2 linked regions of the Ovis aries genome follow. The protein of the gene in region 1 interacts with the protein of each later gene in a pairwise test. Links are inferred from orthologs where the notes say so. Each region holds a gene or a part of one and is shown on either strand. Other genes may lie near its edges. The genes, in order: PKNOX1 and PBX2.

Region 1 (3,806 bases):
TGTCTCAGGTGTTCTCTTTCCCTCGCAGACTGGCCTGCCGTCCTCTGACCTCCTTCCCCCCTGACCCCTGCCTGTGGCCTCTCCCCTGTGTCCTGGGTCCCTTGTCCTCTGTGTGACTCTTGCTTTCCATCCCAGGTGTCTGTCCCCTTTACCGTCCTGACCCTCAGACCCTTTCTAGACAGAGAGCTTAGCTTTGCAGGGTCTGGGACGATCCTAGAAACATTCCTTAAATCCCTGTGGATGGTCCCAGAAACACAGCCGGGGGAAGACAGGCTGTGCAGCCCAGCGGGCTGAACCCCGATGGCATGGTGACGCCTCTTTGTGCCACAGGGGCCGTCGTGACCATCACCGCGCCGGTGAGCATGAACGTGGACAGCCTGCAGTCCCTGTCATCAGACGGGGCCACGTTGGCGGTGCAGCAGGTGATGATGGCCGAGCAGAGCGAGGATGACTCAGTGGACAGCACAGGGGATGGCGGGGCTGCGCTGGCGCCCGGCCACCTGGGCGGGCTGGTCCTGGAGAACAGCGACTCCCTGCAGTAGGGCCCGGCCGCCCGGCACCCCTTTTTATAGTTTGCACAGCAAACATTTTACACAGTTTTATTTCTAATATGTTTTATATGTAGGCATAGAAGAGTGCACTTTTGTATTTCATAGTAAGCTTCCAGGCCGTCTTTGCCGGTGCAGCGACTTCTTCTTTCAAGGTGTGTGTGTGCGTGTGTGTGTGTGTGTGTGTGTGCACACGTGTGTGTGTGTGCGTGTGTTTTTAAGGAGATTCTTCAAAGGTTTAACGCTAAAAATGTGATGAATGACAAACACCTCCCCCCCACCCCATGAGCCCCTAATTAGATTAAGGACTAGTGCTGCCATTTTCTGAACAATTATGCAGTTTTAATTTCGTTCTGTGGTTAAGGCAGGTCTCTGGGGGCTGGTTTACTTGTCAGCCCCGGGATTAGGAAGAAGCCTCTGCACCTGGAGGCCGCCCGTGTGAGGCGGATGACAGCACAATAAACCGCGTGTGACCTGTGGCGAATGTTTGCGACTCAAATGTGGTTCCGTCCTCATGTTCCGTGAGCCTGTGTCATTTGCTATATATGAAAAGAAACTCCTATTTTTACCTTGCTGGAATTATTGGATAAAAAGCTATTTTTATAAATTCCTTATGAATTGGATTATGACTATGTCAAGGGTAAATTCTAGAGGAGAAACAGTGCACACTTACTGACTGTCTCAATTTGAAAGGTTCTGAGTTGGCCAAATTGGAAGAACCTGCCCCCAGTTAGCTAGTATTCTGGTTCTCTGCTCTCCCGGGTAGTAATTCACATTTTCTACTATAAAAGAAACGTCTATTTAATGAAATTTTGATATCTTCAAATTCTAGTCAATATGTCGCTCAGATTGCAGTTTACACTTTATCTAAACGTACGTCTCAAGGTGTGTGCTAAGTAGGGCTTAGGTAAGTTAAGAAGTGGTAGCCAGCGGTCAGTTAAAAGCTTTTGCTGACTGTTTCCGTCTAATTTAAGTCTGACCACGGCTAAGTGGTGGTGTGCCGTGTTAGCTGGGTGTTGTCTTGGGAGCTTTCGGTCAGCGTATGTTATGCATAGGAAGTGTGTCATAAACTACTATCAAGTGTCCCTCCTGTCGGCTCAGAGCAGGCAAAGAGCAGACCCTCGGCTTTGTTACACAATTAGTGCACATCCACTGCAGGACGGACAGGAACCAGCAGGGCCTGGGGGTGGGGCGGCGGTGGCGGCTCGGCATCACTCGGTTGGTGGTTCTTCCTCTGACTTGATCACATCACCTCTGGATAATGGTGGGACTTCGGCTCCTGGTGACCAGGCGGACCACAGAGCAGGCTGGGTTTGTTTCCCTGGGTTCGGATTTGCATCTGCCAGTTTACTTTCAAGTGAGGCTTTTTCTCAGAGAGGAAGCAGGACCTGGTTTCACAGAAGACGTCTCTGCATCACCATCAGTGGGGACACCTGAAGCCCTGAAGGACAGTCTAATGGTCGTCAGTTCCTGAAAAGCAGCGATAGTAATTGATTGTGGACCAAGGCTACCCAGGGGTGTTTTGAGCAAGTGCAGATTTTTTTTCTGGAACTGACTTTTTCTTCCCAAATTATTAATAATTAAAGTTAGTCATAGGAGAATACTTCCTGGATAACTTAGAAGGAAGCAAGAAATACAGAGGAATTTCTTTTAAAATATTTCAGGAGATTTAAAAGAAAAACTTGACTTTCTTTTGGGGGAGAAAATAACATTTTTAAGCAGTTATTGTGTTCCTTTTAAACAATTTTATATTTTTTAAGTCACATCTTTTAAACTATACTAGTTTGAAAGATTGTTTTAAGTCCAACAAAGTTAGGATTTAAGATGAGACCCTGTGGAAGCTGGCCAGCCACCTCCTCCCTCCCTCGCCTCCCTCTGTCCCTCTGACCTCAGGTTCAGGTTGGTGACCACGACCTGCGGTCACTCCAGGTCAGTTTCCCCAAGCAGAAACCCTGTTCGTTGGAGCCGGGGCTCAGGGCTCGGGCTCCACAGGCTGCAGCAGCATGGACATGGGGCCACAGCAGGGCCATGTTGGGGTCCGGCAGTCGGTGCCTAGGGTCGCAGTCCCTGCTCCCTGCAGCTGGAGTCTGCATCCTGGTCGCTACATTCAGAGGACTAGGATAAAGATCATTCGAGAGGGGGCATTTCAAGCTCTTCCCATGAGCAACTGATGGGATCTTAACCCAACAGGCAGACTATTTTGGCTCATAAGCCACTGTCTGGGACATTGGTAGTTAGCTGGCACCTAATAAAGACCCATTTCTAAGCCCCTGGGGTTTTAAGAGCATCTGTGAGAGCACAACCCTGCTGAGCTCTCATCTTAAAGGAATTTGCTCTTGTTAAATTCTTTTCCCTGAAGGATGGTTTTGACTGTGTCTTGCAATCCAGGTTGAAAGTGTCGTGTTACCTGCTGTCAGCTCTTGAGTGGGTAGCAGATGGCTGGGCCATGTCCAGCCACGCTCCAGCTGCTGCAGTAACGCAGCTTTCGCGTTCTGATTCCAGAAATAAACAGTGTAAGTGTTTGTCCAGCGTGCAATGTAAGGTGGGCCACGGCCCCAGCTCGCTCAAAGACCACAGGGCCCTGATGCTGGAGTCGCCGTGGCCTGAGTCCCAGAGTCTTCTCCACATAACCTGCCCACGACCTGACTTGACTCTTACCGGGGTGAGAAAGTGGGGGAGTACCTTTTCTTTCAGACAAGCTGAGACATCCCAGGAAGGCGAGAATGGCCTGCCTCTGGCAGTTAGGGACAGAAAAAAAAAACCCCGCCACCCTCTCCTAATTTAGTTCTGTCTGGTCTGTGAACTGACAATCTTTAAATGTGAATGCTGTAACAATGTTTTCTTGGATTGTTGTCTTTGAAAGGGATTTTTGTGAAGCAACTGATTTATCAAAGCAAAAAAATTAAAAACAAACATGCTTCATGGACGTTTTATTTTCTAAAACTCATGTCACCGCAGATGCTTTTGCATTTTAAGGACAACATTCAGATGTTGACATGTTTGCTGGTGACACTTGGGGTTTGTCGCGACCCCCACAGATTCTAAAAAATTAGGATTGCACCACCCTGGAGCACTCAGGCCCATTTGCATCTTCAAGAATGTTTTCTAAGTTTCTTGAGGTAGTCACTGGTTTTCCAGGAAAAAAAAAAAAAAGGAAAGCTTCAGTTTGTTTTTTATTGTAGTTCACCATAAATCTAATTATTCTGATAGTAATGAGAAGAAAACAATTCACTGGTAAGGTATTACCTTTTGTAGTTC
Region 2 (4,237 bases), on another chromosome or scaffold:
AAGCCCAGCGGTCAGAGCCTCCTCTACCCCCAGGGGGGCAGGAGCTCTTGGAGTTGCTGCTGAGAGTTCAGGGTGGGGGTCGAATGGAGGAGCAAAGGTCCCGGCCCCCCACACACACCTGCTGAGACTTGAGCCCCCACCACCCCCTCTGCATTCCTGGGGCTCAAAAGCTGGGCAGCCCCACTCATGCCCTCACCCCTGCTGGGGAGGAGCACCAGAGACTGGAAGACCCAGCAGAAATCTCAATATTCATCACCCTCATCCACCTTTCCTGGGAAGTGGAGCGGGCGAAAGTCTCAAAGCCTAGGAATAGCCAAGGTAGGATGGATAATAACTCCCGCCATAACCAAGTGTGTTATGAGGCTATGAGAGGATCCCAGCCTCAGTGGGACACCTCACCCTCTCTTCTGATCTCAGGGAGTGCCTGAGAGTCTCCGTCCTGAGCTGTGGGAACAACCCCAGTAGTCAAGCTACCAGGTGGGATCTCAGGGTTCTGTCCTCCATCTCCCAAAAGAACGGCAAATCTCCCAAGGTTTTGACCTGGGAATTCCACCCTCCTTCCCAATAAGAAGAAAGGAAGAGAGGGCACGGCAAGACATAAAGACCATTCTCACATCTCCATCACCCGCACCCCCTAGCCCCAGGCCTACAGGCTGTGAAAGGACATTTAGCCCTGCCCCCCCTCCCTCCCCACTGCTGTTCTGAACTGTCTGATGTTTGGTTATATGAATAAATGTGATCCCCCTCTGGACTGAAGACTGGTGTCTGGGGTGGCCGGGTGGAGGGTAGGTAGGTGAGGCCGGAGGCTGCCCGCTCTCCCGAGTCTGGCCAGAGGCCAGCTCCCCTCCCTGGCTGGTTAATTACTGGCTCATTAAGCAGCGGCTGGAGACCTCCCTAATTATCCCCCCCAGCCCCCCTCTCCTGGTTTTAATTAAGTAGAACAGGGAGGGGAGTCATTAGGATAAGAAATATGAACTAAGCTGTCTGTGAACCCAGGCATTCCAGCGGCCAGGGTCGTCATCAGCTTGATCCCGGATTCAGAACCCGGGTGGAAGAACCCCCAGCCTCCAACACGCCCCCGCTTCAAGGCCACAGAAGTCCAGCCCCTGGGCCCTTCCCTCTTTTTCCCCACGGGCTAGTCTCCGCCCTCGTCCCCTCCTCCACTCGGTCTCAGTTCCTATGTTTCTGTGCGTCTCTCTCCGCCCCCAGCTCCTCCCTGTTCCTCCTCCCTTCTCCCCTCCTCTTCCTCCCCGGCTCCCCTCCCCCAGCCTCCCTCCCTCGCTCCCCCCTCCTCCCTCCTCCCTCCTCCCTCTCTCTCTCTCACACACCCCCGCTTGGGCCTCCTCTCTCTCTCCGGCTCCATTTTCTCCGCCGCCGGGGGCCGGGGTCTCCTGTGGGGGGCCCAGACGGTACCCCAGGTCTCCCTTCAGGGCCGGGGTGAACCCCCGGGAGAGACGGGAGCCGGGGAGACGGGCGGGGGTTGGGGCGGAGGGAGCAGCGGCCCCAGCGAGTTTGGGGGGGAAGTAACCAGGCGGGGGGGAGGGGCGGAGCAGGGAGGGGGCCTCAGGGCCCCCCCCCCAACTATGGACGAGCGGCTGCTGGGGCCGCCCCCTCCAGGCGGGGGCCGGGGGGGCCTTGGATTGGTGGGTGGGGAGCCTGGGGGCCCTGGCGAACCTCCCGGTGGCGGAGACCCCGGTGGGGGTAGCGGGGGGGTCCCGGGAGGCCGAGGGAAGCAAGACATCGGGGACATTCTGCAGCAGATAATGACCATCACCGACCAGAGCCTGGACGAGGCCCAGGCCAAGTGAGTGCCCCCAACCCGGGACCCCACACAGACCCAGCAGAAGCCCCGTTCACAGTCTCTGAACCTTCTGGGAGCCCCCAACTCAGGACCCTCCCCAGGATACTACAGCTGTCCTCTCCTTACTCCCGGGAACCCCAAGATAAGTGATCCCTCTCAGACCTCCCTTCACCCCCAGTCCCTGAAACCTTTGAAAAGGGGAACCCTAGGTGGTCTCACCCTCCACCGCTCCCTAACCACCCCACACTCCCCTGGAACATCCTTCCATCTCCAGAGACCCCTTCTGACTCCCAGACTAAAAACCTGCTGTGCTCTCTGCTCCCCTAACTCTCCAGCCCACCCTCTTCCTAGGGCTCTCCAGACCCCTCCCCAGGGCTCCTACCATTTCTCTCCACCCAGGGCCCAGCCTCCAAGGTCCTCAGGCACCCTCCGCCCCTGCTCAGTCCCAGGACCCTTCACACTTCTCTATACTGAACTCCCCACTTCAGCTCAGCACCCCTCACCCCCTCAGGCACCTCAGACTCTCATCTCCTCCTCCTTCTCCTCGGCCTCCTCCTGGCTTCCTCTGAAATCTACCTAGTCACCCTTATTTCTGCAGTCATTCCCACATCCTCTTCTGTACCTTTCTAGACCGTCTCCCACAGGCCCCACCTGGCCATGGTGCCTTTAGCTGGCGGCACCTTCCCTCCTTCCAGCCAAAGCCAGGCAGCTTCCCCTTGTCTCCGCATGGAAGCTGAACTCTTCCTAAGAACCCCCCAGACTTCATTCGGCCCCCAGCCTTGCTTTTTCTTGCCACAGATTTTCCCACCACCTCCCTATTCCCATGCTCCCCTCTCTTACCCTCGTGGGTGTGTCGTCCTGTGGTTGGTTTTCCCCCTTGACAATTCCATAGCCTCTCAACTTTTCTCTCCCGTTCCCCAAGGAAACATGCCCTAAACTGCCACCGCATGAAGCCTGCTCTCTTTAGCGTCCTGTGTGAAATCAAGGAGAAAACTGGTACGTGAGTTCCCTCCTCCGATTCCTCAACTCTGGGGACAGAACCCTGTTCCCTGTGGAACTTAGGCTAAGAGTTTGACAACTTGGGGCCCTGAGGAAAGTGTGGGTCAGGAAGATTGCTAAGGGGGGCTTGGGTGGGAACCCACGCCTGGAGACTTGGGTCTCCAGGAGGGCTGAGAGCTGGGGTGTGGGGTCCCTGGGTCCCTAAGTCCACTCGCCTGCACGCTAGGCCTCAGCATTCGAAGCTCCCAAGAGGAGGAGCCTGTGGATCCACAGCTGATGCGCTTGGACAACATGCTTCTGGCAGAGGGTGTGGCTGGGCCTGAGAAAGGGGGTGGCTCAGCGGCTGCAGCGGCAGCAGCTGCAGCCTCCGGGGGCGGAGTGTCCCCTGACAACTCCATCGAACACTCGGACTATCGCAGCAAACTTGCCCAGATCCGCCACATTTACCACTCAGAGCTGGAGAAATATGAGCAGGTGAGGAGAAGAAGCCAGAGTGGGTGGAGGGAGAGGCCTTTAAGGGGGATGCCCAGGGCCAAAGGGCTCCTGCTAACCAAGCCTCGGGGCCCCCACTGCAGGCGTGCAACGAGTTCACAACCCACGTCATGAACCTGCTGAGGGAGCAGAGCCGCACGCGGCCCGTGGCACCCAAGGAGATGGAGCGCATGGTGAGCATCATCCACCGGAAGTTCAGCGCCATCCAGATGCAACTCAAGCAGAGCACCTGCGAGGCCGTCATGATCCTACGTTCCCGCTTCCTGGACGCCAGGTGGGGCCCAGGGCCCCCAACCAGCACCCAGCACCCAGCTCCTTCCCATTCTTCTCCAAGCCTCGGGGCCACCGTGTTGCGCAGCGCAACACTCTGCTCCGAGACAGTGGCGCCCTCTGAAGCGAATCAACAGGATGGTGCGGCCAGGACACCAGCACCCTCCTCATCACCCCCTCTCTCCTCTATAGACGGAAACGCCGTAACTTCAGCAAACAGGCCACGGAGGTTCTGAATGAGTATTTCTACTCCCACCTGAGTAACCCATACCCGAGTGAGGAGGCTAAGGAGGAGCTCGCCAAGAAGTGCGGAATCACTGTCTCTCAGGTACCAGGGAGGCTCGGGGAGGTGTTTGCAGGGCACACAGCTCTAACTAAGGTGTTGACAGAGGAACAGGTTCCCACCTGACCCTGCTTTCTGCCCACCACCCCGCAGGTCTCCAACTGGTTTGGCAACAAGCGGATTCGCTATAAGAAAAACATAGGAAAGTTCCAAGAGGAGGCAAACATCTATGCCGTGAAGACCGCTGTGTCGGTCACCCAGGGAGGCCACAGCCGTACCAGCTCCCCGACACCCCCTTCCTCCGCAGGTGGATCCCACTGCCACTCTGGCTGGCCCTTCTGCACACTTCCTGCTTTTGCTCCCACTTCTTGCCCAGGCAGGATCAGAGCAGA

The links.
Region 2: the proteins of PKNOX1 (region 1) and PBX2 interact in binary tests that used the Homo sapiens proteins (3 or more experiments, as listed by UniProt). The link is inferred for Ovis aries from reciprocal best matches to the Homo sapiens genes PKNOX1 and PBX2.

What each region holds. Positions count from the first base shown.
Region 1 is NC_056054.1:263,884,509-263,888,314, forward strand, and holds the end of PKNOX1 (homeobox protein PKNOX1), read left to right. Parts: intron 1-330; coding exon 331-542; 3' UTR 543-3,459; downstream 3,460-3,806. UniProt on the Homo sapiens protein: Activates transcription in the presence of PBX1A and HOXA1.
Region 2 is NC_056073.1:26,273,744-26,277,980, forward strand, and holds the start of PBX2 (pre-B-cell leukemia transcription factor 2), read left to right. Parts: upstream 1-1,349; 5' UTR 1,350-1,583; coding exon 1,584-1,804; intron 1,805-2,723; coding exon 2,724-2,797; intron 2,798-3,026; coding exon 3,027-3,274; intron 3,275-3,375; coding exon 3,376-3,566; intron 3,567-3,754; coding exon 3,755-3,890; intron 3,891-3,998; coding exon 3,999-4,152; intron 4,153-4,237. Other genes in the region: GPSM3 (G-protein-signaling modulator 3), read left to right, coding at 1-125. UniProt on the Homo sapiens protein: Transcriptional activator that binds the sequence 5'-ATCAATCAA-3'. Activates transcription of PF4 in complex with MEIS1.